4 linked regions of the Alligator mississippiensis genome follow. The main gene of each other region encodes a partner of the protein of the gene in region 2 in a complex. Links are inferred from orthologs where the notes say so. Each region holds a gene or a part of one and is shown on either strand. Other genes may lie near its edges.

Evidence for each region.
Region 1: GTF2F2 (region 2) and GTF2H5 share a complex: the UniProt entries of both Homo sapiens proteins name them as parts of the TBP-based Pol II pre-initiation complex. The link is inferred for Alligator mississippiensis from reciprocal best matches to the Homo sapiens genes GTF2F2 and GTF2H5.
Region 3: GTF2F2 (region 2) and POLR2H share a complex: the UniProt entries of both Homo sapiens proteins name them as parts of the TBP-based Pol II pre-initiation complex. The link is inferred for Alligator mississippiensis from reciprocal best matches to the Homo sapiens genes GTF2F2 and POLR2H.
Region 4: GTF2F2 (region 2) and GTF2A1 share a complex: the UniProt entries of both Homo sapiens proteins name them as parts of the TBP-based Pol II pre-initiation complex. The link is inferred for Alligator mississippiensis from reciprocal best matches to the Homo sapiens genes GTF2F2 and GTF2A1.

What each region holds. Positions count from the first base shown.
Region 1 is NC_081824.1:136,363,213-136,371,133, reverse strand, and holds the start of GTF2H5 (general transcription factor IIH subunit 5), read right to left. Parts: upstream 3,006-7,921; 5' UTR 2,907-3,005; intron 1-2,906. UniProt on the Homo sapiens protein: Component of the general transcription and DNA repair factor IIH (TFIIH) core complex, which is involved in general and transcription-coupled nucleotide excision repair (NER) of damaged DNA and, when complexed to CAK, in RNA transcription by RNA polymerase II.
Region 2 is NC_081824.1:410,989,500-410,997,294, reverse strand, and holds the start of GTF2F2 (general transcription factor IIF subunit 2), read right to left. Parts: upstream 3,004-7,795; 5' UTR 2,867-3,003; coding exon 2,801-2,866; intron 1-2,800. UniProt on the Homo sapiens protein: TFIIF is a general transcription initiation factor that binds to RNA polymerase II and helps to recruit it to the initiation complex in collaboration with TFIIB.
Region 3 is NC_081830.1:83,504,554-83,511,448, reverse strand, and holds POLR2H (DNA-directed RNA polymerases I, II, and III subunit RPABC3), read right to left. Parts: upstream 3,009-6,895; 5' UTR 2,939-3,008; coding exon 2,866-2,938; intron 2,756-2,865; coding exon 2,672-2,755; intron 2,576-2,671; coding exon 2,482-2,575; intron 1,522-2,481; coding exon 1,438-1,521; intron 1,094-1,437; coding exon 976-1,093; 3' UTR 436-975; downstream 1-435. Other genes in the region: major facilitator superfamily domain-containing protein 8, read left to right, coding at 3,188-3,263, 6,656-6,841. UniProt on the Homo sapiens protein: DNA-dependent RNA polymerase catalyzes the transcription of DNA into RNA using the four ribonucleoside triphosphates as substrates.
Region 4 is NC_081825.1:266,198,160-266,205,557, forward strand, and holds the start of GTF2A1 (transcription initiation factor IIA subunit 1), read right to left. Parts: upstream 3,010-7,398; 5' UTR 2,930-3,009; coding exon 2,831-2,929; intron 2,820-2,830; exon of another isoform or gene 2,800-2,819; coding exon of another isoform or gene 2,797-2,799; intron 1-2,796. UniProt on the Homo sapiens protein: TFIIA is a component of the transcription machinery of RNA polymerase II and plays an important role in transcriptional activation. TFIIA in a complex with TBP mediates transcriptional activity.

The sequences.
Region 1 (7,921 bases), about 270 Mb from region 2:
CTGAGATAAACCATACACACAAAAAGCAAGCAAAGACCTAACTAAATTAAATCCAGCTCACGCTGTTGGCTGAGAACTGCCAGAACCAAAAAAGGGCTGGAGCCTTGCTGGAGCCACAATGATGCTCAGTAAAGATGGGAAAAGCCGGGGTGGTGGCAATTTTTGGTGATCTCTTTTAGTACCCCAACAGGACAGGTAGGAGAGATGTGGCACAAGCTTTAGGGCACAAATGACACCCATCACTAGAAGCTAAATAAGTGTGTGCATGCATGTCTGTCTGCCTGTGAATAGATACATATGCGCGTGTGTGTATTTATCTGAGGATGTATACATACATTCATAGTTTCATAGTAGCTAGGGTCAGGAGGGACCTGAACAGATCATCTAGCCTGACCCCCTGCCACAGGCAGGAATGAATGCTGGGTTCACAAGACCCCAGACAGGTGATCATCCAACCTCCTCTTGAATTTGCCCAAGGTAGGGGCGAGGACCACTTCCCTGGGAAGTTGGTTCCAGATTTTGGCCACCCTAACTGTAAAATATTGCCTTCTGATCTCTAACCTAAACCTATTCTCCATCAGCTTAATACCATTGTTCCTTGTCACCCCAGGTGGTGCTGGAGAGAAAAGTGGTCTGCCTATTTGCTGTTGATCTCCCCTGATGAGCTTGTAGGCAGCCACTAGGTCTCCCCTCAGTATCCTCTTGCTAAGGCTGAACAAGTTCAGGTCCTTCAGTCTCTCCTCATAGGGCCTGCCCTGCTGCTCTCTCACCAAGTGGGTGGCCCTCCTCTGAACCCTCTCCACATCCCTTTTGAAGTGCGGCGCCCAGTACTGGACGCAGTACTCCAACTGCAGCCTGACCAAAGTTGCATAGAGGGGGACTATCACCTCTCTGGACTGGCTTGAGATGCACCTTTGGATGCATGACAAGGTATGGCTGGCCTTGCTGGCTGCGGTCTGGCCTTGTTGGCTGCGGTCTGGCAATGGCCTGTATGTATGCTGTGGATTCCTTCTCCCAAGGTGCAGCACCCTCCATTTGTCTACGTTGAACCCCATCCTATTCTCATCTTCACACTTTCATAGTCTGTCTAAATCTAGTTGCAGCCTCTCTCTCCCTTCAAGTGTGTCCACCTCACCCCACATCTTAGTGTCATCAGCAAATTTGGACAGCGTGCTTTCCACCCCCTCACCTAAGTTGCTGATGAAGATGTTAAACAGTGCCGGCCCAAGGACCAACCCTGGGGTACCCCACTGCTCACATCTCGCCAGGTTGAGTACGACCCATTCACCACTACTCTCTAGGTCCACCCCATCAGCCAATTTTGTACCCATCCAACTGTGCAGGCATCAATGCCACAGTCACTTAATTTATTGATGAGGATGGGGTGAGAGACAGTGTCAAAGGCCTTCTTAAAGTCTAGAAAGACTACGTCCACGGCGACACCATCATCCAAGGATTTCGTTACTTGGTCATAAAAGGCAATCGGGTTGGTCAGGCAGGACCTGCCTTTGATGAACCCATGCTGATTGCCCCTGAGCATGATCTCGCCTGCAGGGCCCCCACAGATGTGCTCCTGGATGATTCTCTCCAAGATCTTCCCGAGCACCAAGGTGAGGCTTACAGGCCTATAGTTACTTGGGTCCTCCTTCCTCCCTTTCTTGAAAATCGGGACCACATTAGCCAGTTTCCAATCCCCCGGCACCTGACCAGATGACCACAAACGCTCATACAGCCAGGCCAAGGGCTCCGTGATGACCCCTGCCAGCTCCCTCAACACCCTTGGGTGGAAGGCATCTGGACCTGCAGATTTTAAAATGTCTAGCCCTTCCAGAAGATCCCTAACTACGTCTGCACTGACTGAAGGCCTGACAGAGCTATCCCCAAGACTGTCCCTACCTCTGGTAGGCGGGATGTTCTGGTCCCTGTTCAAGAAAATAGACGTTGTGCGTCTGTGTTTGTGAATGTACACTTACGCATGTATATCTGTGCTTGTGGATATATACATGCACGCGTGCGCAGAAATGACTCAAGATAGGTGCAGGGCCCTGCCCCCAGACACCAGGAAGCCGACAGCGGATTTGGCGGTGGAGGAGGGGGCGTGGTACCAAGTGGCTAGATGCTGATTCCACGCTGTCGCCGGCTTCACATGGCCGCTCTGCCCGGCTCCGCAGGGTACCCCAAAGCACAGGGCTCGGGGCAATTGCCCCGATTCGCTCCCCACTAGGGACAGCCCTGCATGTATGTGTGCCTGTATATACACGAGGATGTACACCTGTATGTGTGCACATATCTGTCTATACACATGCAGGGCCGTCCCTAGTAGGGGACAAATTGGGGAAACCACCCTGGGCCCCGCAGAGCAGGGAGGAGTGGCCACGGCAACTCCGCACTAACGCTGGCTTCATGTCCGGCCGCTTGGCACCCCCTCCCCCGGAATCTGCTACCCGCTTTCTCGCGTCTGGAGGCAGAGCCCCGCAAAGCCTGATTTGCCCTGTGCCCCGCACCCTGCTCAGATCGTCTCTGTACACATGCATATACAAATGCACATGTGCGTGTGTCTATACATGTGCTTTGACATGCATGGGCCGGCCTGTACATACAGCTATACTCATGCCTGAATGCACGCATGTATCTGTCTACACATATGGCTGCAGATATGCATGTGCCAGTGCATCTGCTTAGGCATGAGGAAACGCAGCAGTGTGCACGCGCATGTCTGCATGTGGCTTGAACGCGTGTCTACTTTTGGGGCTGTACACACGTGTGTACTTAAACCCCTGTGTCGCCAAGAGGACCAGGCCCCTCCGCGCCTGAGAAGCAGGACCGGCGCCGCGCGCCCCTCCCCCCGCGCCCACCACGTGACGGGTGGCGGTTGGGGAGCCTCGCTCTGCCCCTCCCCCACCTACCGGCCGTTGGTTCCGCCGACGACAGTAGAACCCCGGCCGCCGCCTCCGGCGCCCGGTTCCTAAACAGAAAGCAAACTTCCCGTGCAACCCATGCGCATGCGCAACCTCAACGCCCTCCCTCTCCCCACCCACTTCCTCCGCGCTCAGCCCGGGTTCGCAGAGACGCTCTGATGACGTCATCGAACACGTTGACCTGCCGGAAGTAAGGCTGGAAGGAAGGCCGTGCTCAGGGATGCTGCTGCGGCTTGCGGGTCAGGTAAGGCGCGGGCGCGGCTGGAGGGCGGAGCCTGAGGGGAGGGGGAGGAGTCTGGGCAAAGCCCAGGGTTTCCAAGCCCCCCTTTAGGGATGAAACCCGCCCCACCCCATCGCCGAGAATGGACTCTTCCGTGAGTGACGATTTTCTCTGCCTGCGCGAGGCCCCTCCCCCTCCCGGCGCGTAGCTTTGCGTCACGTGTCCCCAGCGTTCTGCGGCCGTTTGAGTTTGTAAACCGCTGCGTATACTCGCCCTGCTTCCTGCTGTATTTCCTCATACTACATGCGCCCAGTATATAAGCAGCCCTTTGCTTTGGGAAGGCATCTTGAACGGGAGCAAAATATATAGTTTGCAGTCTTGGGCTGACTGGGCCCCCCCCTTTGTTTTCCTGCTCGACTCCAGGCTGAAATAGGAGGCGAGCCCAGGAGCAGGCAGAAACCTTGCCCTTGATTAGTGGAGCGTCAAACAGCTGGTAATCCCTGTGGAGTGAAAAGCAATGAGCCATTGGAGCCAATGGCCCTCAGCTGTTGGAAAAGGAGGAGTACTGGCATGGTGATGGAGCTGCAGGCGAAGCGGGGTGCTTTTACACCAAACAGAAAAGTCACTTTACCTGCTAAATACACGTGCCCCAATTTTGAGGGGCTGATTTTTGCAGGAGAAGAGATGCTGTTGAGCCCCAGCTCAAGTCTGGGATTGTGCCCGGTATGCAAAGGCCAATAAAGATACCAGGGGTGAAAGTATAAACAAGATTTATTGCTAGCAATAAAAGGTGCAAGCGGAATAATTTCACAGAACAAGCACACCAGATTTCTAATTCTAAGCCCCTTTTATACAGGGATTTTAGACCTTCATAAGCATCCTTGTTTGCTAATTGGCTATAAAGGAGTGACGCAAGGAGTTCTTTACTGAGCATGTCTCTATACCTGTGTTTTAGCTATGTATCTCATTAACGTACATGTATGTTTCATTAGCATACCTCTTCCCCACCTAGGGGTGTGATTTTTAGTATTTTAATGAGCTCTTTGACCCAGTACTCTGATTCTGCTTTTGTTTTCAAGCCTCCTTTATCTAAGACTGTCTCCTCCTTATCATTGCAGATGGGCATTCGTCACATAACATTCACTTTTGCTTGGGCTTTGCATAGTAGTTTCTAGGTCAAACCTCACAATGCGTTGTAGGGGAGAAAACATGTTAGCTTTCAACATGTTATGGATTCCTTGTAAAAGTACGAAGAGGCCTGGCTTGGGCTTTTTAAATCCCCTTAGACACTTCAGAAGTCAGAGCGGACAGGGCGCTCCTCCTCTTTTGGGCTGCTGCCTTGTGAGCAAGTTCAGCCTGAGATGAATGTAGCCCTGTGCCGCTTGTGTGGTGCTGTCATTTCCAGGTCCCCGATGTCAGTGGAAGGCTGGCATGGTCCTCGACTGCTCTGGAGAGTACGAGGTCAGGATAACGACACGAGACACCCTAAATTTTAACCGCTGTCTGAATCCACTGGTGGAAAAAATGCAGTATGTTAACAAGGCAAGGTTCTTTTGAGTAGATGTGTTATCTTTTATTAGACCGAGTAGTTCGAAAAAAGTTTTTAGCAAGCTTTCAGACTAGCTAAGAACTAGAAAATCATATGCCTTAAGAAGGGTGATTGCCCCCAAATGCTTTCTAAGAACTTTTTTCCAACTACTCAGTTGGTCTAATAAAAGATATCACATCTACTCAAAAAACCTTATGTGCCTATGTCCTTAGACCTACACAACTACAACCAAAAATTCAGCATGCTAACAATGCTTCTTGCAGGTGGAGGCAGACCTGGTCTCCTGTCCAGATTAACCAACCCATTCCCGTCCTCCTGGATTTCCATGCAGTGTTGCTCCTCAGGGGCCCAATCCAAAGACCATTAATTGCAGAGAAACACTAGTTGCTTTGTCTTTGTGTTTCCAAATGGACCATGTGAGCAGTGTAGGGAATTGTAGTGGCTTCTGTCACACAGTCACAGATCCACTGTGCTTGCTGCAACTACACTCTGTGATTAAGTGGTGTATAAAAAAAAAAACTTTCTGAAGTTAGGATTGGACCATTAACTGAAACGGTTCTCTAGAGATGAAAGGAAAGGCAACTGCTTTCATGCTGCAGTGCATATTTTTTCTTAACTGCTCAAGTAGTGTGTTTTAAGCCTTTGGTTATTATGAATGTATGAAGGAAGGTGAAGAAACTGTCTTTGGTTTGGGTGCTGCTTTTTCTTTATTTATTTTAAACAAAAGAAAATGGAAAGCAAAAGTCCCTCAAAGGGACCAGTTATTGACATGGTCAGCATTTTTCCTTGTGTTGTGTCCCTTTGTGGAGGAAGATGGGTGGTAAGAAGTGCATCATGTTGCTGAAATAGTAACCATTGCTAGCAAGCTGTCTACAGTAGCACCAAATCTGTTTTAGTCGTCTTTGGAGGAAGTGATCCTGATACCATAGAATTATTTTAAAGAAAGGAAGGAAGGAGAGCAGCAAAATAAGGATGCTGGACTTCCAAAAGGTTCATTTGAACCATGTTTTAGAAATAGTAGGTAAGCTACAATGAATAGGCAAATTAAAAGAAAAAGGACATAATTTTAATAGTCTCAGCATCAGACTATTCCCATGAAAAAAGAAGATAACAAGCACCATAAGAGACCAATGTTGCTGCATTGGCTGCCATGGTAGATCTAAACTGATGCATACCAGCAATGGGAAGAAAAGCATGCATCTGTAGAGGTGGACAGATAATGACAAACATGGGAAAAGTGAAGGCAAAAAATCGCCAAAGGTTTCCAACAACTGGCAAGAAATGTTAAAGACAACAAGAGAGATTTCTACACATACATCAGACAAGGAAAAACTAAAAAAGAGAGACCAAGAAGCCTGTGGGTCTATTACTCAAAGAATGTAAACTATTAATGGAAATTTCAAAGAAGGTGGAACTGTCCAATGCCTTCACAAGAGAAAAAACAAACAAAAAACCCCCACTCCAAAAACAACCAACCCAAAGAAAAAATAGCAGAATTAATATAATAAATGAACAGGAAGGATGCCGGTCATGTTAAGCAAATAATATAGTAGAGAATTTTTGACTAATCTGAATTTAAGTCAGGAGGCTGTGCAGTATTCAACCAAGGGTACTGAAGGATCTCACTGAAAAAAATCTCAGAGCTACAGGCAATAATAGATGAAGATCATGGATGGCAGGCAAGGTCCCAGACAACTGGTAAGGCTTACATACTGTACTACCCATTTTTAAAAGGGGAAAGAGAAGGACCCAGCAAGGTATAAGATCAGTCAGCCTGACATCAGTGCCAAGGAAGTTACTAACAGGTTGACTGTTTTATGCACATATTGATCACTGACAGATGACATGGATTTGTTAAGAGCAAATCATGCCAAATCTTTGCTCCTTTTACAGGATAACTTGATTTGGATCATAAGGTAAAAATGGTGATTGTAAATATTTGGACTTCAGTCCTACATGCCAGTCTTGTAAGTAACCTGGAAAAGTATGTCCTAGATCAGAGGTTCCCAACCACTGGACTGTGGCCCGGTACTGGGCTGCGAAGGATTGGCTGCCGAGTCGTGACTCCCATTTGTCTACCCAGGCAAGTGGCTTCTGCTGGCAGTCACGTGCAGGGATAAAGCTCGGCAACGGGGAAGCCTGGGAGGGAGGCAGCCAGCTCCATGCGTCCCATCCCACCCCCGCTGGTCTGCTGTATAGAAAAGGTTGGGAACCACTGTCCTAGACATAATTACCATGCATGCTAGTATTCATAGTATCATAAAAAGTTAGAGTTGGAAGGGATCTCAGAAGGTCATCTGCTCCAATTCCCTGCTCAAAGCAGGACCATCCTCACTTATATCATCCTAGCCAAGGCTTTGTCTAGCCAAGTCTTCAAAACCTTCAAGGATGGAGACTCCACCATGTCTCTGGATAATCTGTTCCAGTGCTTTGCTACCCTCCTTGTGAGAGAGTTTTTCCTAACATCTCACCTAAACTTTCCTTGCTGAAACTTGAGACCATTGCTGTTTGTTCTGTCATCTGCCACTACTGAGAATAATCTAGCTCTATCCTCTTTGGAGCTACCCTTTAGGTAGTTGAAGGCTGGTATTAAATCCCCCATCAGTCTTTTCCAGACTAAATAAGCCCAGTTCCCTCAGCCTGTCCTTATAAGTCATGTGCCCCAGCCTCCTCACTGTTTTTTATTTTTTGCCCTCCACTGGGCTCTCCAATTTGTCTACATCCTTTCTGTAGTGGGGGGCCCAAAACTGGACACACTACTCCAGATGTGGTCTCACAAGTGCCCAATAGAACGGACTACTCACTTTCCTCAATCTACTGGCAACACTCCTACCAATGCAGCCCATTATGCTGTTAGCTTTTTTTGTAACAAGGGCACACTGTTGGCTCATATTCAGCTTATTGTCTGCTATAGCCCTCAAGTCCTTTTCTGCAGAGCTGCCGCTTAGCCAGTTAGTCCCCAGCCTGTACCAGTGCGTAGGATTATTCTAAGTGCAGAACTTTGTACCTGCCGTTACTGAACCTCATGAGTTTTCTTTTGGCTTAGTCCTCCAATTTCTCAAGTTCTCTCTAAATCCTAGCCCTACCCTCCAATGTATCTTCCACTCCCCCGTTTGGTGTCATCTGTAAGATTGCTGAAGTCGCCCTTGATCCCATCATCCAGGTCACTGATGAAGATACTGAACAAAACCGGCCCTAGGACCAACCCCTGGGGCACTCCACATGATACTGGCT
Region 2 (7,795 bases):
GGTGTACATCTGCGAGAGGCAAGCAGGGGAGTGTATGCTTAGGGGCAACCAACATGGGTTCATTAGAGGCAGGTCCTGTCAGACCAACCTGGTGGCCTTCTATGACCAGGTCACAAAATCCTTGGATGCAGGTGTCATGGTGGACGTAGTATTTCTGGACTTTAGGAAGGCGTTCGACACTGTCTCTCACCCCATTCTTGTTAAAAAATTAGGAGATTGTGATGTTGATGCCTACACAGTCAAATGGGTCACCAATTGGCTGGAAGGCCGCACCCAGAGAGTGGTGGTGGATAGGTCATTTTCGACATGGAGGGATGTGGGCAATGGGGTACCCCGGGGCTCAGTCCTTGGGCCCGCACTGTTCAACATCTTCATCAGCAACTTGGACAAGGGGGTGAAAAGCACCTTGTTCAAATTTGCAGATGACACTAAGATGTGGGAAGAAGAGGGCACGCTAGAAGGGAGGGACAGGCTGCAACTGGATCTGAACAGGTTGCAGAGGTGGGCAGATCGGAATAAGATGTCAGTATTGAATCCCAAGTGCAGGGTACTGCACCTAGGGAGAAAGAACCAACAGCATACCTACATGCTGGGGAATTCCCTTCTTGTCAGCACAGAGGCAGAGAAGGATCTTGAAGTCACTATAGACTCCAAGATGAACATGGGTTGCCAATGTAGGGATGCAGTCAGGAAGCCTAACTGCGCCTTGTCATGCATCCACAGATATATCACGACCAGGTCCAAGGAGGTGATCCTCCTCCTCTATATGACATTGGTCAGGCCACAGTTGGAGTACTGCGTTAAGTTCTGGGCGCCGCACTTCAGGAGGGATATGGACAGCATCAAGAGGGTCCAGAGGAAGGCCACTCACATGATCGGGGTGCAGCAGGGCAGGCCCTATGAGGAGAGGCTACGAGACCTGAACCTGTTCAGCCTCCACAAGAGAAGGCTGAGAGGAGATCTGGTGGCCATCTATAAACTGGCCAAGGGAGACCAGCAGGCAATGGGAGAGTCCCTGTTCCCCTGAGCATTACTGGGAGTAACAAGGAATAACAGCCATAAGTTGACAGAGAGTAGATTCAGGCTAGATATCAGGAGGCACAACTTCACAGTCAGGACAGCTACAATGTGGAACCAACTTCCAATGGAAGTGGTGCTTGCTTCTAACCTGGGGGTCTTTAAAAGGAGGCTAGACACCTTGCTGGGGTCATTTGACTCCAGGATCCTTTCCCGCCCATAGCAGGGGGTCAGACTTGATGATCTGCTCAGGTCCCTTCCAGACCTACCAACTATGAAAGCATTGTCTTATTTCCAGAGACTCTTTTAGCTTAGTGTGACAGGTGTTTGCCAAAACATCATTAGATACCATCTAACTTTGTGATTCTTATGTGGGGGAAATTAGTTACAGAAGTCTTCCCTCCGAGTTTCATATACAGTTCAAACACTAAGCACACCTAAGACAAAGCCAGGTGCTCACTGCTACAGTTCCTCGATTTTAGCAAATGCTAGCTCTGTAATTCACATCCAATTCAGCAATAGTAGAAAATGTAACAGGACTTGTGTGTTTTGACCATCATGCCACCTTCTAGCCAGGTGGTTCTCAGCCTTTTTTGTAGCAGGACTCATTTTTAAACACATATCAATGGCCAGTCCCAGCCCAGGGCCCCTCACTATCGGCCCACTACCTCTGTCTCCAGGTCCCAGCCCCACAGTGTGTGGAGCAGGAGGTGATATTTGAGGAAATTGCCAGCCTGCAACAGAAAAGCCACCATTTGCCATGTTTTTCTCCTTTAAAGAAGTATCTATTTTTAAAGTGTGCCCATGACCCTTTCATATATTATTGAGATCCACTTCTGAGTCGCAACCCATGGGTTGAGAAACGCTGTTCTAGCCTGTGTAAAACAGCACTGGTAAAAATGACGAGCTCCCTAAGGTTGACTTGCCTAAAAAAAGTTTTAAGATTACAAGGCTGCAGCACATCTACCATAGCTCAGCACCATCAAAGCGGGTGGTGGGGGTGCAACACAAAGGACACAGGCAGATCAGGGGAGGGGGCAGGGGGTGCCAGGCAGCGCACTGAAAGCCAAGTGGCTGATCAGCAGGGATCCTCGTTTTCTCCGATTTAAAACAAATCCCCAATTTTTGGAATTAAAAATGTAACACAAAAAAATCCACATTTTTTCATAATTAAAATGAAGCATCACTTATATCCATATATCTATATGGATCTCTCTCTCTCTCTCTGGATATTTCTATACCTTTATTTATATGCACACACAAACATAGTGATGGTTCATGCTAATCAGGGAAAAAAGTGGATTTTGGGTTACTTTAAATCCAAAAAATGGGGATTGTTTTTTCAATCAGAGAAAACCAGGATCCAGACAGGAGGACACAGGGCAAGGCAGAGTAGCCGAAAACTGAGTGTCTGATCGCGGGGAGGGGGAGGGGGGGAACGAGACGGGACTGGGGGACCGCCAGGGCAGAACAGCCGAAAGTCGAGCAACAGATCAGGGAAGGGGAACACGAGGCAGGGACAGAGCAGCGGATCGGGCGGGGGACGCAGGGCAGGACAAAGCAGCCGAAAGCCGAGCGGTCGATGGGTCAGCGGGAGGCACGGATTGGGCCAAAGAAGACCAGGCAAAAGCCCAGCGGAGAAAGCCGAGCAGCCGATCGGGAAAAGGGGAGGGAAGGGGGAGCAGGCAGGGCAGCCGAAAGTCGAGCGGCTGATGGGGCAGGGGCAGGGACAGGGACCGGAACCGGGATCGCAGTGGCCCTGAGAGCCCCCGCTGGTTCTCACCTTGACCAGCCACATGCCCGTGTTCTGCTTGGCCCCGGTCAGGTCCAGCTCCCCCTTGTCGCTCATGGCGGCGGCGACTGGGGGGGGCAGGGGACGCGCGGGACAAACTCGAGACGCCGCCGCCGCTGCTGCGCACGCGCGCGAGGGCTGCTGTCTGCAACCCCGGAAGGAACTTCACCGGACTACGGCGGCCCGCGCCGGCCAAACTTTCCGTGCCTGCAGCAAAGTGGAGCGGGGAGGGGTGGGGGAAGGAGTCTCCCGGGGATTCCCCGGCCGTGACTGCAGGGGGGCGCCGTGACGTAAGACGGGGCGGGGCCAGGGGACTTGTGCGTCCTGATGCCCCGCCCCCAGCCCCCACCCAGAAGCCGCACAGGGGATGAGGGCGGCCTTTGCTCTGCTCCGCTAGAATGGGCTGCCCTTTCCCTGTGAGCCACTGTTCCGCACGGCGATGGGCTCTGGTGTTGGGACAAGGACACAGGCAGACAAGTTTTTCCTAATATCCAACCTAAACCTCCCTTGCTGCAATTTAAGACCATTGCCCCTCGTTCTGTCACCTGTCACGAGTGAGAACAGTCAACCCCTGAGTCATGACCTCGAAGTGGGTCGCAAGAATATATGAAGGCTGTGAACAAACTTTAAAAATGGATTGTCTTTGAAAGGAGAAAAGCCTGGGAAGCAGGGTTTCCCCTTGCAGGCTGGCAGAGCTCCAGCCTGCAAGGGACTGCTTGGGGCCCCCCTTCCCCACACACTGGGGGGGCTGGGGTTGGGGGGGGGCAGTGGGTTGGGAGTGAGGGGCACAGGGTCAGGACTGGCCATCAATGTTTACAAATAGGTCCTGGTACAAAAAAAGGTTGAGAACCATTGATCTAAGGCAGGGGTTTTCAGTGGTTTTGATCAGTGTAGCCCTGGTGGCTGGACATCAAGCAGTGTACTAGGCCTATGCAAAGAAAGCGGCTAGTATTTGCTTCGGATTTGGATTCGGCCAATTTGGGGGACAGTGATTCGATTTGGTAATTCAAATCGCTGCCCTGAATCTATTCGGCCGAATCTCTAAATCAGCCAGGCCCATCCGCCGCCCACTCTCCCAGCCCAGCAATGGCTGCTCCACCTGCCCCAGCTCCTGGCACTTGAAACAAAAAAGCCCCAACTCAGTGGGTGCTGTTGGGCAGGGGGGTGATCCCCACTGCACCCCGTGCCACGTGGGGGGCTCTTCCACAAGCCCTCCAAAGCCCAGAGGCCGTTGTAGGAGCGGAGAGTCCCAGGACTTTTCTCATTTTTTTTTCTTAATGGGCTGGAGCTGTGCCTGGTGGGGTGTCCATGGCGGGGCTGGGGGAGCGGGGAGGGTTGGGGGGGGGCTCATGGCACGGCCCCCCATACAGAGTGGGGCAGTGGGGGGCAGCGGGGATTGCCCCTTTGCCCGGCAGCACCCCGTGAGCACTAGGGCTTTTCTTTAAAGGGCCAGGAGCTGGGGCAGGCAGGGAAGCCATGGGGGGGCTGGGGGAGCAGGCAGGGGTCAGGAGGGCTGGGGGAGCAGGCTGGGGATGGGGGATTCAGTTTGGATTTGGAGATTTGGCTGCTGAATCGAGCCGAATCTCCTCCGAATTGAATCAGCGCCCGAAGCTTCGCACAGCCCCACAGTGTACCCTGGCGGCTGGGTGTGGAGATGGGTGGGGTGTGGAGGTGTGAGGCTGGACAAGGGGTGGGGCGGGGGGGGTGGCACACAGCTGGACAGGAAGCAGGGGGGTGGGGGTGGCGCACGGCCGGACACAGAGCGGCAGTAGCCGTCACATGCGAGCTTCCTCTGTCCCCCATGTGTCGCCAGGCAAGTGGTGCCTGCAAGGCAGTGCAGGATGGTGCATGGCAGTGCTCCATCTCCGCATGCCCATGTATACCCCCTAGGGCCATCTCAGGTACCCCTGGGGGTATGCATATCCCTGGTTGACAACCCTGATCTAGGGGATAGTCTAGTCTAGTCTGCTCTGGCCTGAACTCCTGGATGCCTAACCGGCTTCATGCCCTTGCTCTCTTCCTGGCTTCCCCAATACCAGACCCAAGTCTGGCCTGACCTCCCAGGCATCTGACCCAGCTAGCTTCCTGTCCTTGTGCTCTGCCTGACTCTCTGGATCCCCAGCTCCGTTCCCTGGACAGATCTAGTTTCTGGCTTTTCCTGAGCCTGAGGTGACCCTCAGACCTGGCTGCCCATTGCCTGGCATGACAGCGACTTCACACTCCAGATCCAGCCACAGAGTGACCCCCATGCACCGATACACTGGGCCCCGCTATCTGGACCACAGGACTCCCCTACAGCTCCAGGAATGGAGACAGGGAAGCAGCGATTAATGCTGCCACCACACTCTCCCTGCCAAATTTCTGGAACCATTAAGAGACCCACAGGTCAGAGCAGGGCATCCAAAATCCAAGTGACAGATCAGGCAGGGGGCCACAGGGCAGCCAGGCCTAACAACGTATCTGTGGGCCTTATCTGGCCAGAGGTTGAGCACCAGGGAGTTAGGAGAAGTACGAGATAAACTCTAAGGCACAAAATGCCTATGATTTGAGGAAGGGCATATTGTGCCCAAAAGCATACATACCATCTCTCCCAACTATACAGTTGGCACAATCAAGGCTATTACAGAACAAATCCTGGTTCTCTCATACTGTCTGGAACTTGGGCTGGAACTAGTGCACCACCGTAACATTATCACTGCATGTGTCTACACAATCTGGCCAAGTGACTAGAATGAAGCTTGCACTGCCCTTTCAGTTTTAGCCCCAAATTTAGATTCGATTACTAGAAGTTTTCACTGGAACATGAGAGAGATGTTTCCCTGAATTAAGACAAAATGTGACAAGTGTATTTACCAAAGAAATAGTCCCTGCAGAGTATGGTGCCCAAACATTACAATTCTGCAAGTGACTTCAAGTATTTATTCACCTGAAAACTGGAACTAATTTGTATTTTACTATTTGACTTATTCTGGTCTAAACCTTTGTGTGGATGCTTCTGTATAAAGCCAATGAGAATCAAGGGTGTTCAGCACTCAAACAGAGCTCTGTATCGTGCAGGATTGGCCCGATAGACTCCTCCATTTTAAAGGAGAGAACAGAACATCAGGGACTGTGATACAACAAGCAATTTATAACTAGTAAGGTGTTTGTAAGAGGAGCTTGTACCTTGCAAGATTGGAGCCCAATATGATTTTCCAAGACTACATAAATGAATGAATGGTGGAGCCGGTTCTCCTTACTTACAGTTTTAGCTCAGTCCATATACTCAAACCAAGCCTGTCCCTACCTAAAAAATAAAAAAGGGGATGGATATATTTTTTTCAACACACATAAAATTTTAGATAACCTTGTGCCATTAATTCTAATAAATGTTGCTTACACCAGGGGTCAGGAACGTTGGCAGCAGGGGGACATCTTAACCAAACTTAACTCCAAGCTTGAGCGGCTTCTGACTCAGTCCACACAACCATAGCTACAGTCCCATTCCCCATGTGGTGGTGGTGCTGCTGCTGCTGCTTCTCCACACCACCCTGGCAAAGACCCTCACCATCAAAATGACACCAAAGCTGCCCAGCCCTATGGGCTAAATAAATTTCTCCATGCGCCAGATTTGGCCCGCAGGCCATACACCATAAAACTACTAATTAGAAAAGAGGAATATAAATCTGAATCACTGAAATACACTTGTAGCCAACATAATTGTCCAACCTGAGACTTGTCCAGCAAGAAATCATGACTCTTAGTCAGAGTTAAAAAAAAAAAAGGAAAACATTTAAAAATCTAGTAATTTCACTGGCTCAGCTGGTACTTGAGAGCTAAAAGAGACAAGGCAGACTTTTTTTCCTCTTAGTGACTTGCTACAGGCAGCCTTTCCAGTCCTGTTTCCATGGAAACTAAATTAAAAGGGGCAACAAGGTAAGAAGAATTGTCATTAATTCCTAATTTAAACTCCTAACGTTCTGTTTTCCATTCCAATATTCAGTTCCATGGAGGAAGAATCTCAGAGGCCAGTAGCTGAGAGCTGAAGCTGAATGTTAGTTTCTATTTTTTATCTTGTTGTGTGAAAACTGTTGTTAAGTCAAGAGAAATAAACTACAAGGTTTTAAATTACAGACTCTTTTACTGAACTTTTTTTATTCACTCAGCTGAGTGCAATCATGATTGCACTGTAGTAAGCAGCTGAGAAGGGCTTTCCTTTGTCAATTATAGGTGCGAGCTATTGGCTGAAGAATAACAGCACTGTCATCTAGACATTTAAGGCCTGGTGTTGTCCTAGTGAAGTCAGTCGGAGGTTTGCCCTTGATTACAACTGCTTCATGCTTCCCTAGAGCCACGGACATCAATGCTGATAAGTGCAAAGTGATGCACCTGGGGAAAAATAACCTGAGATGCACATACAGGATGAGGGGCTCTATATTAGCTGTTAATACTTAGGAAAGAGATCTTGGAATTACTGTGGATAGTTCTCTGAAAACAGCCCAGTCAAAAAGGCAAGCAGAAGAATGTTGGGAATTATTAAGGAACGGATCCAAAACAAACCAAAAAATGTCACTGTAGAAATCTCTGGTATGCCCACATTCGTGAATACTGCATGCTATTCTGGTACCCCTGCCTCCAAAAGGATATCCTAGAAGTAGAAAGGTACATACAGAAAAGGACAGGAAGGATGATCAGTAGCTTAGAGAAGCTTCTGCATAAGGAGAGACTAAAGAGAGACTAAACAGGCAAGACAGAGAAAAGATGACTGAGCGGGTGGTGATAAAGGTCTATAAAACCATGAACAGCATGGAGAAAGTAAATAGGAACTTACTATTTATTGTCTTTCACAATACTAGAACTTGGGGGGCACACAATGAAATTTTAATTTCCTAACAATGGCCTCAAAGCTCCTTGCCCCTACAGAAGCAAGCCTTACATTTCCTAGGATTCCTTTTTCCTAATCCTTCAGGGTTCAGCTGAAAGATGGTTCAATTTAATTCTTATTCT
Region 3 (6,895 bases), on a different chromosome or scaffold from region 2:
AATCCCATCCTTTCAGGAAGTGGGTGTCTTGGATACCCTCCTGCTGTGACTGGGAAGCCCTGGTGGAGGTAACAGCACAATTCCAGTCCACTCAGACAGAACTGAGCCTCCGGCCTGTTATAGTGAAGAGAGAGCAGTGATGTCTCCACCTGTGCACACAACATGGAAGCACCCGCCAGGGCCCACAGGTAGCCTAGAACTAGAGCTCGGAAAGGAGAACGCACTGGGCAAAACGGAGGGGCTGCTAATGATTTCACAGCTGATCACGTCAACAGGGACAGGAGCTGAACAGTGCAGGGCCTGAGAGTCCCCAGCCCAGGGCTTGCAGGGGTTCAGTCCTTCATTAGGCCATGGCTATCATTCCCCAATGCGCTCAGTCCCATTGCTTACCTACTTCACACCTTGTGGAATTCTGTGGGAGGCAAAAGCCAGGACAAATCTGAAAAACAAGTTTAATAGCGAACCAGAGGGGATGGGCTCAGGAGCTGCTGCCCTCCTCGCCAATACAGCACATGGCCTGCCTAGGTGGGTGGCATAGGCTGTACTGCAGCCTGCAGTGGAGCCACGGGGCAAGGATGTAGCCTCCCAGCTGGCCGAGGAGAGCATGTGCCATAGGCAAGTCCTCCAATGACCGGCACCTGCAGGCAGGGACCTAGGAGCTCACCTGCGTGTGACCAGCCCCTACAAAGGGCAGTTCTTCAGAGACTGGGGCATGAGCTGAGGTCTCAGCCTGCTCGGCAGAGAAGCAGTCTCCTGGCCTGGATGGCAACCCAGCAGAGATGTGAGCAGTGCAGGCCTCTGGGCTGGCTGCACAGACTGGAATGCATGGCAGGGTTCAGGCCCACGCAGATGAGGGGTGAAGGAGCCAAACTCCTGAGGCACGGATCAGAGAGGTTGCTGGCAAGTCCATGTCTGTCCAGACAGCCTGTCAGGCAGGGTCCCTGCTGCCTCCTGCAGACCCTCAGCTCCCGCCCCTTAGAAGGCCAGTTTCTTCATGAGGAGGTACACCCTGGAGTCCACTTCGAAGCCATGCAGGTTGTTGGCATCTCCCTGGAGACGCATGAGCAGCCCTCCATAGGACACGTAGGCAGAGCTAGGGTGGAGGGGAAGGATGAGAGCAGGGTAGGAACTCGGGGGAGGCTGACCATAGCCCCAAGCTCTAGAAGCCTAGCTAAGAGGCAGCAGCACTGGCTCATCACGGGGCTGAGGGAGCTGGCTGCCAGGGCAGACTCCAGCCAGCCCCTCAGGGAAGCAGTCCCACACGAGACCAGCGTACTGGGCAGCTCAGCACAGACTGCTAGCAGAATCAGGTGTTCCTACCCCCAAGCTGCCAATCTGGCACCCAGACAGGACATGGACCACCCCCCACCCCTTGGCATCCACGAAGGACCAAATTCCCAATGAATGACAGGGAAGCAGCACAGGGGAGACACTTACAGTCGCGTGGCAGCCTCCGTAGACGTCTCGTCTCCCTCAATCCTGTACACCTTCCCATACATCACATACTCAAACTGGTCAGCCCTGTGAGAGCAAGACAGCAAGGCTGGAGGAATCGGCATGACCCTGGACCCAACCCTCCTGCCCAACACAACCCCCCTCCAGGCTAAACCCCTGCCAGCTAACACTGAACGCCCCCAGTCATCCTTCCACCCTCATGCAGCTGATCAGCGCTGCAGGCTGAAGCTGTCTGCCTCTTTTTTTCATTTGGTGACAGGCTCCCATCCAACACCACGGAGCTAGGGGATTTTTTTGGCTAATACGGATGGCCACTTATTAACCAGCCATATGGGCCAACACCAATCTGATAGCCAATATACAGCCTGGCAACTTGGAGAGCAGCATCCGGCCTGTAAGCCTGGGGGGCGGGGAGGTGGGGGATGGGCAGGCAGATCAAGGCCCACCACAGTGAGGGAGGACGTGGGACTGGGGAAGGGGCAGGTGCTGCCTGGCCAGGGTGGTGAATGGGCCCCTGGGGTAGGTTACCTCTCCCAGGAGTACACACAGCAGAGAAGCTGCCTCCTCCCCAGACACAGCTCCACCCTGCAACTCACCTGGGGGGCCCATTCACTGCCCCGGCTGTGCAGCACCTGCCCCGCCCCACTCCCTCCCTCACCGCGGGGGCCTCGATCTGCCCCCACACCCCTTCCCTCCCACTGACTCACCAGCCAGACGCTGCTCTCCACAGTGCAGGGCCGCGCTCCTGGCCGAGCGCAGGCTGAGGCTGCTTGCATGCGCGCGGCATTTAGTCGGTGACGTTATCGGCTATGCCGGCCAAAAAAAGCCAACCGCCGATAACGTTAATCGCCGCCGATCTGATACATCACCGATGTATCTGCGCCCTCGACACGGAGCCCCGGCGAGGAGGGAGACCGAGAACAGGCGGGGACCCGGTCGGACGCGGCAGGGAGGAGCGTCGTAAATACACAAGGCAGGGGTTGAAACAAAGCCAGGCTGCAGACACGGGCGCGCCCGCGCCCCTACCTGGAGGGCCGGTCGTCCGTGGGGTTGTACTCGCCGTCGTCCAGCGTCCCGTCCTCGTACAAGGTGCTGGCGATGACCAGGCGGAACTTGTCACCTGCAACCCGCGGGGTCAGCGCCGGGCCGGGGGCGCGCGGGCCTGGGGTGGGGGGTGAACCCTTCCCCGCCCGCCCGGCCCCGCCCCGCCACCTACCCAGGTCCACGGGGTAGATCTGGATGTTGACGTCCAGGATCAGGTCCATCTTGAAGGACTCGCTCTCGCAGTGCAGGCGGGACACTGCGGGCAGAGCGGGGGTCAAGGCCCGGGGGGGCGGGGCCTGGGATGAAGGGGGCGTGGCTTGGGCACAACAAGGGGGGGGCGGGGGAGGCTGTCCCGGCCCTGCTTACCGCGGTCGAACTTCTTGCCCTCGGGGTCGATGTCCTTCACATCGAAAATGTCCTCGAACAAGATCCCGGCCATAGCAGCGGCCGCGCTCCCCCGTGCCCGGCGCCCGCCGCGGCGACACGCGCTGCTACTGCCGCTTCCGGCCGGCGCGCCGGAAGTGCCTCATCCGTGCGGGGCGGAAGTGCAGGCTCGGGGCGGAAGGGCCACTCCGGGAGGGCGTTCCATGCTGGCAGTCCGTGTGCGCATGCGTGTGCCGGGGCTGGACCCCGGGCTCCCTGCTCCGCGCGGCCGGGCCCGGGATGGGGCGCTGAGCCGGGCGGGTGCATGGCCGACCCGCGGAGGAAGAAGCTGACCAGCGTCGCCATCGCGCTGCTCTTCCTCTCCGGGGGCATCGAGTACGGTGAGTGCCTGGCCCCGCCCCGCGGCTCCCGCTTCCCTTGGACCCATTTCGCAGGCGGGCACACTGAGGCCGGGCAGGATCCGGCCCGCGGGACGGTCCCCAGCCCTGGTGGTGGGTGCGAGCTGGCTCTCTGCTCCCCCCCGGTGTCTACAGACTGGAGCGAGGGATGTTTTTAAGGCCAAAAGGGGTCTTCTCAGACCTACTGTTTGACTTGTCGGGTCACGTGAGGTGCTGGGTCCTGGATCCTGAAATAATTCTTCCTCCTCCTGCGTTTTCACCCTTGTGACACGGCGGTCACTGGGTCTGCGGCGTTCTGCGCCCAGCCCGCAGGCCTGTCCTTGCGGGAGCGGAGCTGACTTTGCTGTTTCCTCGGTTAATATTTTACAAGGTGCAAGCTGAGCCTGCAGCTCGGGTAGGCCCGGGAGGAGCCCGTTCCTGCTCTTCGCACCAAGGATCTCCGAGTGCTGGGGGAACTGGTAGCCCAGCGGGGAGCAGGGCAGGAGCGTTGACTGTCCGGGAGCTCCCGACCGCTGCAGTCCTACCTCCTTCTAGGAGGAGGCTTCAAACCCAGCGGGGATTGGGGTCTGAGTGCCGGGAGAAGTGGTGGATTGCCAAGTTGTCCTTCCCTCGGGTCCTCTGGGTTCATCCCCCTGCTGGGAGCAGCCAAGGGCTCAGCAATGTTAATGCAGCAAGGACCAAGGGTGGATGCCGGAGCCGAGTGTCATTCCCCTGCCCTTGCCTGTCTCGCCACCTGGGAGAACGTGGCAAGTGCTGGCACTTGCGCGGCTTCGCGACATAAACCGATTCCCCGTGCAGAATCGGGCTGGGGGGAGGCGCAGTTGGCATTGGCCATTTGGCTTGTGAGGGCAGCCAGGCGAGAAGGTCTGTTGTTACGGGGCCTCACCCCACCGCACTGCACCTGGCAAAGCAGCTTTCCTTGGCAGCTGGGTGCTTCAAGCTGAGCTGACCGGTCCGGTGACGTGAGCCACTGGTGCCCTGGGGAGCGGAGCCAGGGAGCGTCTAACGAGGAGGTGGTGTTTGACATGGCAAGGGTTTGATTGAGGCACGTCAGTCAGCGTGCCGGTCCCAGGCTGCAGGGCCCAGCCTTGGCACCCTCTCACCTGCTTTCTGCCTTGTCTGAGCTTGCGCTTCCTTCGGTCTCTGCAGCTGTGGGAGTGCTCCGTGTTCCCGGATGTTTCTCACCCTTCCTTTTACTTCCCTTTGTGCCTCTGTGCTTCCCAGGGGTGTTGCCCTCACCCCTTCCTCCCAGAGTTGGGCTGCCTTTCCACAGCTGCTGTCTGGGGCATGGCCTCACAACTAAGATGAGCCCCTGCCTCCAAGAGCCGATGGCCCACTCTAATGAGCCCAGGTGTGGGGAAATGGGGAGAGGCAGGGACTCAGCCGGATTCTCCCTGCAGCTCAGCGGCAGGTGCAGGAGTCTGACTTGGGCGTCTTGTCTCCATGCCCGTCCCCTGGGCATGCCTGTCTGTGCTCAGAGCATGCTGGGAGGTGCTGGCTGGGGTCTGTGTCCAGCCGTGCCCCTTGTGCTATCACGTCGGCACCCACGCCGACATTCAAGCAAAAAAGGGTCCCAGGTACCCGGGGGTTACGCAGGCCAGGTGCAGACTGGAAAAATACGGGCCAAACCCATGGCTCATGTCCCACAGCTGGGAACACTGCGGGGTGTTCATAAATGTCGCTCGTCTTCCCAGCTTCTCCCATCAGCCCTGATCTCCTCCAGCATGAGTCAGCTCCACTCCTGCTGGCCCAGTGCCCAGCTGGGCCCTGTCCAAACTCACCTCTCCGCTCAACCCATTCCTGCCACTAGTCTTTGGTGACCCTTCTAGGTCTTCGCTCTACCCTCCTTGCCCTCTTGGGGTTTCCTCTGTTGAGTGAGCCCCAAGAACCCCTCATCTCCATGAACCCCACTTCTTGGTCTGTCTCCCTTCTGTATTCTCCTGGATGTCACCTGCCTAAGAACAGTAGGGTCTGGACTGAGATTCCCCCCCCACTAATTTACAGCAGCTTCCCTTTTCACCGAGGCATGGGGTCATCTCCAATGTCTTCCACGTCCCAACTTTGCCTTTTCTTTCTCCATGATCCAAGCATGCTCTGTCCCCCCTTGAGCTACCGCTTTGCAGTCCCTGCTCTCCCGTTCTCCGGGAATGTGGGAAACTGAGGCCCAGGGGTTAGTCAGTCCTTGGTTTATGTTGGATAGGGCCACAGAGCCAGCCCTGGTGCGTGGGCGGGAGGGTGCTGAGTCCTCCCAAAATGAGCAGGGGGTGGGGAGCTGCATGCGCTGCCAGCTCGTAGAGAGGAGGCCTCCAAGGGCAGCAAAAAGACTTTGAGCCAGGCAGATCTCTCTTTGAGCAGCCAGCTCCGTCGTTACAGAGGGAAGTAGGGCAAGGGTGAGCAGGCGGGGGCGGGCGACAGTGTTGCAGCACCTCTGTCCCTTGGGGGAAAGCAGGCAGGGGCGAGCTGAGCCTGGAGGGAGAAACTGGCCATGGGGCCTCCCTGCCTGACACCAGAGACCTGCCCTGGCCCTGCTCTTGGTGCCCAGGGTGACTTGGGGGCCTTTCTGCTTTCTTGGTCCTGGACCTGAAACTCCAGAGCTCCCTTGCAGGTGATCAGAGAGCAGTCCCTGAGCCGTGGGGCAGGGCTACCTCTCGGCTGCCTGCCGGGGACATCTGGAGTTGGCCGGTCGAGATAACCTGTGCTTTCAGGAATGGGAGGGTGTGGGGCAGCGCAGGGGGCAGTCCAAGGCAGGCTGGGGGGATCTGCCGCTAGCTGTACAGAGCTTTGTGGAGCTTTCTAGCTGTGCTGCCTTTGCAGGGGAAGCGACCTGGCCATGGCTGCTCTAATAGCATGTCCTATGCAAAACGTGCTGTCCTTTCCTACTCTTACTGCTGACCAAATGCCTCAGGATATGCCAGGATATGATGGACTAGCCAGGTGCAGCCTGAGAGGGGAGGCTCTGAGCAGGCAGGGGCATTGCGGGGGTCCCCATGTCTCTGGGAAGCCAGTGCTGTCTCCTGGGGGAGAGGGAAGGACTAGGAGAGCTCGCTGTGGCTGCGGAGGGTCTGTCTGCATGGCTGATGCTTCGCCTTGCTGTGCCAGGCATCAGGAGAAGCCATCCAGCTGCCCCAATGGCTGGATCAGCTGAGGTGGGCAGGGTGGGACCCCCAGATGGTGAGTCTCAGGGACCCAGATGGCCTTTGCTGTCCTTGTCACTGGTCAGCCCATGCCAGTTTGGGGGGTGGTGGTCAGGAGCTGGGTGGCCTGGCGTTGTGCTGAGATGATCCAGGATCAGGCTCAGTATCGGTGTGGGGTGTCCTGGTAGGACTCAGCCTGGGGCTGTCTCTGACTGTCTGTCTGTCTTCCTTGCCTGCCAGCGGTGATCCTGCCAACCATCTGGGCCTACCTGCAGACTCTCCATGCGGAGCCGTACTTCCTGGGCCTGGGGATTTCTGCCTTCAGCCTCACTGGCCTGCTGGCAGGGCCCCTCTTCGGGCTCTGGTCGGACCGCACCCAGCGCACCAAAGCAATCATCCTCTTCGCCAACACGTTCGAGATTGCAGGTGAGGCCGTGAGAGCAGACTGGGGGGGACCTTGTAGTTCAGATTCCAGCCCTC
Region 4 (7,398 bases), on a different chromosome or scaffold from region 2:
GCACCCTGGTTGAGAGCCACTGTTCTAATAAAACAAGAACAAAGGTTCCTTTGTAAAGTGAATATACTGAATTGCAAGCTGAAAGCTAACAAGCTACATAGTATATACATATGAACTAGTTCCGGAGCAAAGGAGCCATTGATATTTTTATTTCATAACTGAGGCTGTAGTAATTTAAAGCTAACCAAAAATACTACCCTGTTTGGGTCTGGTCACTAAAGGTACTACTCACATGCCTCAAATTAAATGTGTGCATAATCATTTGCAGGCCTGGGGTCCAAATTATCTGATTTAAAATGAGTAGCTAGTCTTATCAAAGAATGCAAGTTCTTCAGAAATTAAAGTATTAGGTGAATTAATTACATGATTACAAAAGTTGCATTTTAACACCACTGCTCTATCATGTTTGATCTGTTTATGATGAGAAGTTTTTTTTCTTTATGAAGAGTCAGCTATTACTTTTCCCTTCTGTATTAATCACAAGCTGCCCAGTACATGTGTTCTTAAATATGCAGGTTATTCAGAAAGAATGGTATGGGCTGTTTATGTTGTACATAAGGGGAAAGTCACTATCCCCTTTAACTGTCCTCTCCAAGGACAGCAATGACTTGTTGAACAGTTGTGGGAGAAGTTAAAACACATCACAAGATGCTGTTTTCCAATACCATTTAGCCTATGCAAATCCAAAGAACAGGGTATAAAGGATAGCTTCAATGTATAATCTTTACAAAGAAGCAAAGCAGGCAAACTTAATTTGTGTCCCTCACTCCATGTAAAAATTAGCAAGTATAATACCAACAGGTTATTCAAACTTCAGTTTAGGTATACCAAGCCCCCAGATTTAAGTGACAAACATTCCTTCCATATACTCCTTGCTCGCTTTGAAGCCAATTTTGAGAGAAGTATTATTGAACAGACCTGAACCAGGTTTTCCTATTTGATCATGAAAATTCAGTAGAAAGAGTTCTAGTCAAAAAGTAATAGAAATGTAACTTCTGAAATCTGTTCCCTCCCCACAGTTCTTTCCCTCTCCATTTCAAATACTGTAAGTAAAGACCATCTGTTCCTCTCTCTCATCCTCTTCTCTGCACGTACATTAGGCCTAATTCTAGCTATTAATGGCACAAGCATTCTCAAGAGATGCACTGAACTGCACAAGCTGACTAGTATGTATAAAACTGGTTTTAAGGACCAAATGAGTGCAAACCGTTTTTTCCCTCTGAATTTAACACCTTTTTTCCAAGACTGTTTTTGCATAGCAGTTTGCCAAAGCAACCAGCCACACCAGGGCAGTTCCATTATTACTACTGCTACAGGAATAATTACACATTAACTTCTAGATTGTGAAGTCACACACCATCTGACAAAGCTTCAGGGAAATCAAGGCAATAAAGAAAAACTCTCTACAGAAATTTACAAGACGCCAGTTAAAATTATCATGGTTTCACCCATTCTGAATGAATAAAGTACTTGCCTTGTAAAAGGTACATCAATAGCGAACCTAAGCTGTTCATAAGTGAATGTATCACAGTCAAATTAGATCTGCAGGTGTTTGGCAAGCTCTGTTCCAAGCACTGACTATAGCTTGTCTGTCTTGATCTAATGAGACTTACAATTTTCTTATTTCCTTATTTGTGCATGGTTATATAACCATATATTTATACAAAACGTTTGTTAACTGGTGCTCCCTCTGCTGAGCATAGAAAAAACTGACCATCTCTCCCTCCCTCTGCACTTACAGCAGTTCATTTGAATATGGTGTGCTACATGAGCTCAAATATTTCAGAATCCAAAGAATGCACACCAAGTCATTTTAAGTACTGCAAGCCATTTTGAGATTACATTTCTTAAATTCCTTTTTTTTTAAAAGGATACCCCCCAAAAAAAATCTGTATGCAGCTACTCTTACAAACAACCCCTCAGATTCCTGTAACTGAAAGACATAGTTGTATTGATTTTGTGCATCTGACTGCAAGCCAACTAGTTTTCAAGCTATCCTACCTCCTTTAAAACAAACTGGCTATAACAACTTGCTACAGAGTCCTTGCTTATTTATGCAAGCCAAAAATGAAAATACATCATTTGGCTCATAACGAGCAAGAAAACTGACTGATGATGATTTAACGACACCAAAGCATTAAGAGGCTTTTTGAAGTAATTTAGAACAGAAGTCCAGCTTATGAACTGGCTATGTTCTTTAACTTGGTTTTGTTCAAAATATCATTATGATGTTAAAAGGTGCAGCTCTATTATTGGCTATAGATCTGCACTCTAAAAGATAACATTACCGACTGAATAACCATCACCAACAAACCACCTCTCAGCTGAAAAACGAAACCGAGCCATTCACCTCCCACCAACCGGCAGGGTGACCTGAATCACACATTACGGAGCTTTATTTTCTAACAGGACTTTTCTTAGGATAGACCTGTACCAAGCGATGGAGACAGCTGCCCAGCTTTGCACAGCAGAGAAATCAAGTGTTACTGGGGCTTTGCAACAAAGTTATTTGCAAATCCTTCAGAGTGAAGGCCTTTTCTCTTAGATCTTTACAAACCTGCTCTACAACAGAAGAGAAAATACAGGCATACTACCTTCATTTTTGTTTTCCTTATATTTATTCATGGGATCCTACTTGGTGCTCTTAAGATTTAGCTGATATTTTACACCCTGACTGAATGCATTTACTGGACTGATCACCTTCTCAGATCAGTGTGCGTGTGTGGGGGGGGGGGGGGGGGCATGCAGAGGAGGCAGAGAGAAAGAAATAGATATAACACCAAATAACAGCTTTACCATTCTAGAAACACCAATGCCCTAAAAAGCTAACCCGCTCCGTGGGATTTAGAACGCCAAACAATCCAGGTCTCCCTCCTTTCCCCGCCTCTAGCGCTGCTGCTGCGAGCAGGGCACGAACCGCTGCTATCATGGAAGGCAGAAGAGCTGGGAAAAGAGTCTCAAGCGCTTCGCCTTTTCCCAGGCAGCAGTCAAATACCTGCAGCCGCGCCACCACCTCCCCCCGCAGGAGCCTTCCCCTGCCGCCTGCCCCAGCAGCTCCATCCCCCCTGCAACAAAGACCCTCCGACCGCGCTGCCTCTGCCTCGGCCTCGCTCCCGCTCCAGGGGGAAGCCCGTAGCGGCCTGGCCACGCGGCGGGAGAGAAAACCCCGCCGCCGAGAGCGGAGCGGAGCGGGGCCGCTCGGGCAGCGGCGAGTGACAAAGAGCCGGAGCCGGAGCCGGCGCCTCCCCCGGCCGCTGTGGGCTGCGCGCAGCTCCCCGCCCGCCCGCCGCTCTCGGCGGCGCTCTCTCTCTCCCTATTTAAAGGCTGCCGCGGTGTTTAAATGGAGAGGCGGTGACGTGGGGCTGGAAAGCACCTTCCCATCCTGGCAGAGTCTATATTAGAGAGCGGCAATAGCTCTATATAACCCGGGCCGCCGCAGGGAGGAGGAACACAAGGCGGGGGAGCAGCCAGGCCGGCGGGAGCCATGATGGATCGGCCGAGACGGGCGCAAACAAGGGGCCGCGGCCGGGGCCGGGCCGGAGCGGTGCGTTGGGGCAGGGGGCGCGGGGCCGGGGGTGTGTGACTGCTTGTTGCAAACCGACGGGCGCTCCCAAGCAGCCGCCGCCCACGGGAAGCCGACTGGGGCCGGGGCCGGGCCGGGCGGGCTCGTGGGGCGGCGGGCGGGAGAGGGAGAAGGAGGAGGACGAGAAGAAGGCCCCGAGCCCGCCACCCGCCCCGGCCCGGCCCCCCCGGTGCTTACCACGGGGTTTGTGTTGGCCGCGCTCGCCATGTCCCGCGCCCCCCGGGCGCCCCCACCGCGGCCGCGGTCGCCCCCGTGAAGCGAGAGACGTGCCCGGCGCCGGTGCCGCCCCCTTAATGCCCAGCACAGCCCTGGCTCCCGGGCGGCGCCGCGGCCTAGCCTGGCCCGGCCTCTACTCCCGGCCCCGGGCTGCAGCCGCCGCCGCCAGCCGCCGCTCTGCCCGCTTTGCCCCTTTATATAGCGAGAGCCGAGCAGCTGCGCGAGCGGCCGGGGAGCGCGGGGGCGCGGGAGGGGGGCAGCTCTCGCGAGAGCTGGCGCCGGAGCACGGCCCCCGCGCGGTCACGTGCGAGGGAGGGAAACGGGCGGCGCGGCCGCCATGACACCTAGAGAGGCGGAAGTGCGCGGTGCGGGGCGCCTCGGTGGATATGTCCGCTGGGGGCTGAGCGCGGCTGGGCTGGCGCGCGCGACTGGTGACGCGTCTGATCGCGTCAACGCGGCGGCGACTTAGCGTTCCACGACGGCGCCGGGCAATGTAGCGCCCGGCCGTATTGAGCCTAGTAGGGGCTCACCCCGTGGCCCTTTGACTGGATTGCTTTCAGTAGTCACCCGGCTGATTCCCGCAGGGTCCTGCCCAATCCGGGAGGGTTGGCAACCCCAGCTGCGGAGGAGCTGCACTGTTACATGCATGCAGTCCTGGGGTGCCTGCCCTTAGGCCCCAGGGCTGCAGCAGGGAAGCAGGGGAAGAGGCTCCCCCCTGGAGGCCAGCAGGGCCCAGGCAGAGGGAAGATCCCAGCAGTTAGTGGGGGACTTGGGTTCACAAAACTACATGGCAAAGAGAAAATCAGTGGGGAGTCATTATTGGCTCTCACAAGACAAGAACAAGCGACCACAACTTGAAGCTGGCAGGAAGAGCCCTGGTCGAGGTAATCGTACATCCCCTTTTTGCTAGGACAGTCCCCTATTTGAGCCCTATCCCAGGTGTCCCCACTTTTTTTTAATTGGCTATTTGTCCCGTTTTCTTTTGCCAGCTGAAGTATTGCATATTCAGTAAAGCATTTTTCACATGGCATTACATATAAAAGAGATGTAATTGCATTTTTTTCCTTCCCTCCATTTCACAATAACATCCCAACATTTTACCACTTGGTTTGATTTACAATAGGTGATGGCAGCGCACGGCGGCAGCTCTGGGATCTACCCACATGAGGTGCACATACAATGCATGGTCAGCTGCAACACATGAGGTTACAGAAGTTATCAGTAGTGTTTGCTATAAAATGTCACAAACATGTCTGTTCCTGTAAGGAGGACCTACAAAATCAGCCAAGTTGTATGACAGACTTGTGGAGAAAGCAATCTGGGTTCATGGTAGAGGTGATACATTTTATTAGACCAACAAGATTTTTTCAAAAAAAATTCTTTAATTGCAAGACTTGTGGCAGCTGCTGTGACATTACTCAGCACCTTCAAACAAAAAAACAGGCCAAAAGTACTAAGTATGCAACTCCAAGCATTTCAGATTTTTTTTTTTTTATTTTTGTTAAGCAAAACAAAAAATGTGATTGGCTTTTTGTTAGTCACATTTTTGCCAGTGAGGGACTGTTTGCTTACCACTCTGTGTCATGGACACCTTTTTGGGTCAAGTGACTACATCACATTAAGAAACTCTACCAACCTAAGTTTTCATCTGCTCACACAAAATCCAAGGCAATAATTTGCAATGTATTAGCTCTTTTATCAACAGAAGAAGTGCATCGTGATTTGGAGAAGTGCTCATTTATTATGCTTAATGTGGATGCATCGAACAAAAAGGAGCAAAAGCTGTTTCCTGTTCTCGTATGCTTTTTTCTTCCAATTAGGGGAGTCAACACAAAAATAATAATTGAGTTTTCTACTGGGTGAAACATCTGATGTGCAGCGGGCATTTCTCTAGCAAGTGATTGAGAAGTACTCTCTTGGTGCAAAGCTCGTTGGAATTTGTGCAGACAATACCAACACTAACTTTGGTGGTGCCAGACATCCTGGAAAAAACAATTTGTGGCAAAAACTCCAAGCCAAACTAAGAGTTGAAGAGCTGAAAGACTTCTGCCAATTTGTCAGTCTTGAGTATTTTAAATGACTACAGCACAGCAGCACACAAATCTTGTCACTGGGACCAGTGCTGGATAGAATTTTGTTGATTTTCTATGGGCTTAAAGCATGTTTCCTTTCTCAAGAGAAATGGCTGACACTGTTAAAAGAAGTCTTCAATGACCCTAGCACTAAATTGTAGCTTGCCTTTGCCAGTAAACAAACAGCCATGTTTCAGAAGAACATAGAGGCAATTAAGAAAAATGATGTGTCAGTGACAGAAGTTGCTTTGCAGATACATTCCCTGTGGGATAACTTAGCAGAGAGACTTAGACAACAATTTGTCCCAACAAAAGCAAAGAGCCTACTGCAGTCTCTTGTAGATTGTCAGCAAATGAAGGAAGAAGAATTTTACAATGCAGAATTTTACAATGCCTGTCTTACTTGGAGTACTGGAAACCTGCTTTTGAGCGTGCCAAAAAGCTTGAGTGGGCCCTGTCAAGCAATATGCCAGTGTGGGATGAAATATAAGACAGCTTCGCTACATGCCACACTAGAATTCCTACCTTAAGTATGTTGGATGAGAATTGCCCTTTTAAGTGAGCCAGTGCAAAATCAATCATCTCATCATCTTTCTGACTGCAACCATCAGTGAATTCCCATTGCTGAAAGGTGGCTGTGCATTTTTCAAGAGATGGACAGCAAGATAGTACAATATGCAGATCTAGCTAAGGCTGTGGAATTCGTGTTGCGTTTCCTGGGCACAACCGCCCCCCGTTCAATGTGTGTTTTCTAGAATGAACAATGTGTGGTCTCCTGAAAAATCACATCTGCATGTCTCTACCATGAAGGCTATGTGAATTAATTTTGATCTGGATTGTACTGTGTTCTGTGACAAGCTGCTGAAAGACAAGCAGGCCCTCTAAAAGATAGCATCATCAGAGAAATAAAGGTGGCAACAAGCAACTTCACACCCTGAAGGACAGCAAGACAAGGAAAACATCAGTAACCACTTTATTGTAAGTGCATACTTTCACTGTTTATGCTGTTTGTAAGGGGGAAGCTACTGTATTGGCTAACTTATGAAGTCAAATCCATTCAGTCTCTTTAAAGTCATATTAAGAGCATGTCACTATATTGTGTATTTTTCTTATATGTTTTTGCATATGTAATTGAACTCCCCTGAACACTAGTAAAATCTCACCCAGGTGTTCTGGTTTCAACATGGGGAAGTATAGTCATGCAAGTCATAGTCATGGAGAAGTAGGGCTGGAAGGGACCTCCAGAGGTCATCTACTTCAACTGCCCTGCCTGAGGCAGGATCATGGTTTTCTATCACATCCCATACAAGCCATCATCTAAACTCTATATAAAGCTGCTGTCAGCCCTGACACAACATAGACCTAGCACTCTAACCTGCCACACATAAAGCAGTTGAAGCATTGCAGCCACTGTCCTGCTTCTATGAAATGTTGTATATACACTCAGGATGTCCCAGGTAGAGGGCTATGCCCCCTACTTTGGAGGAAGGCAAAAATCCCCACAGTTCATACTAATCCCAAGTACAG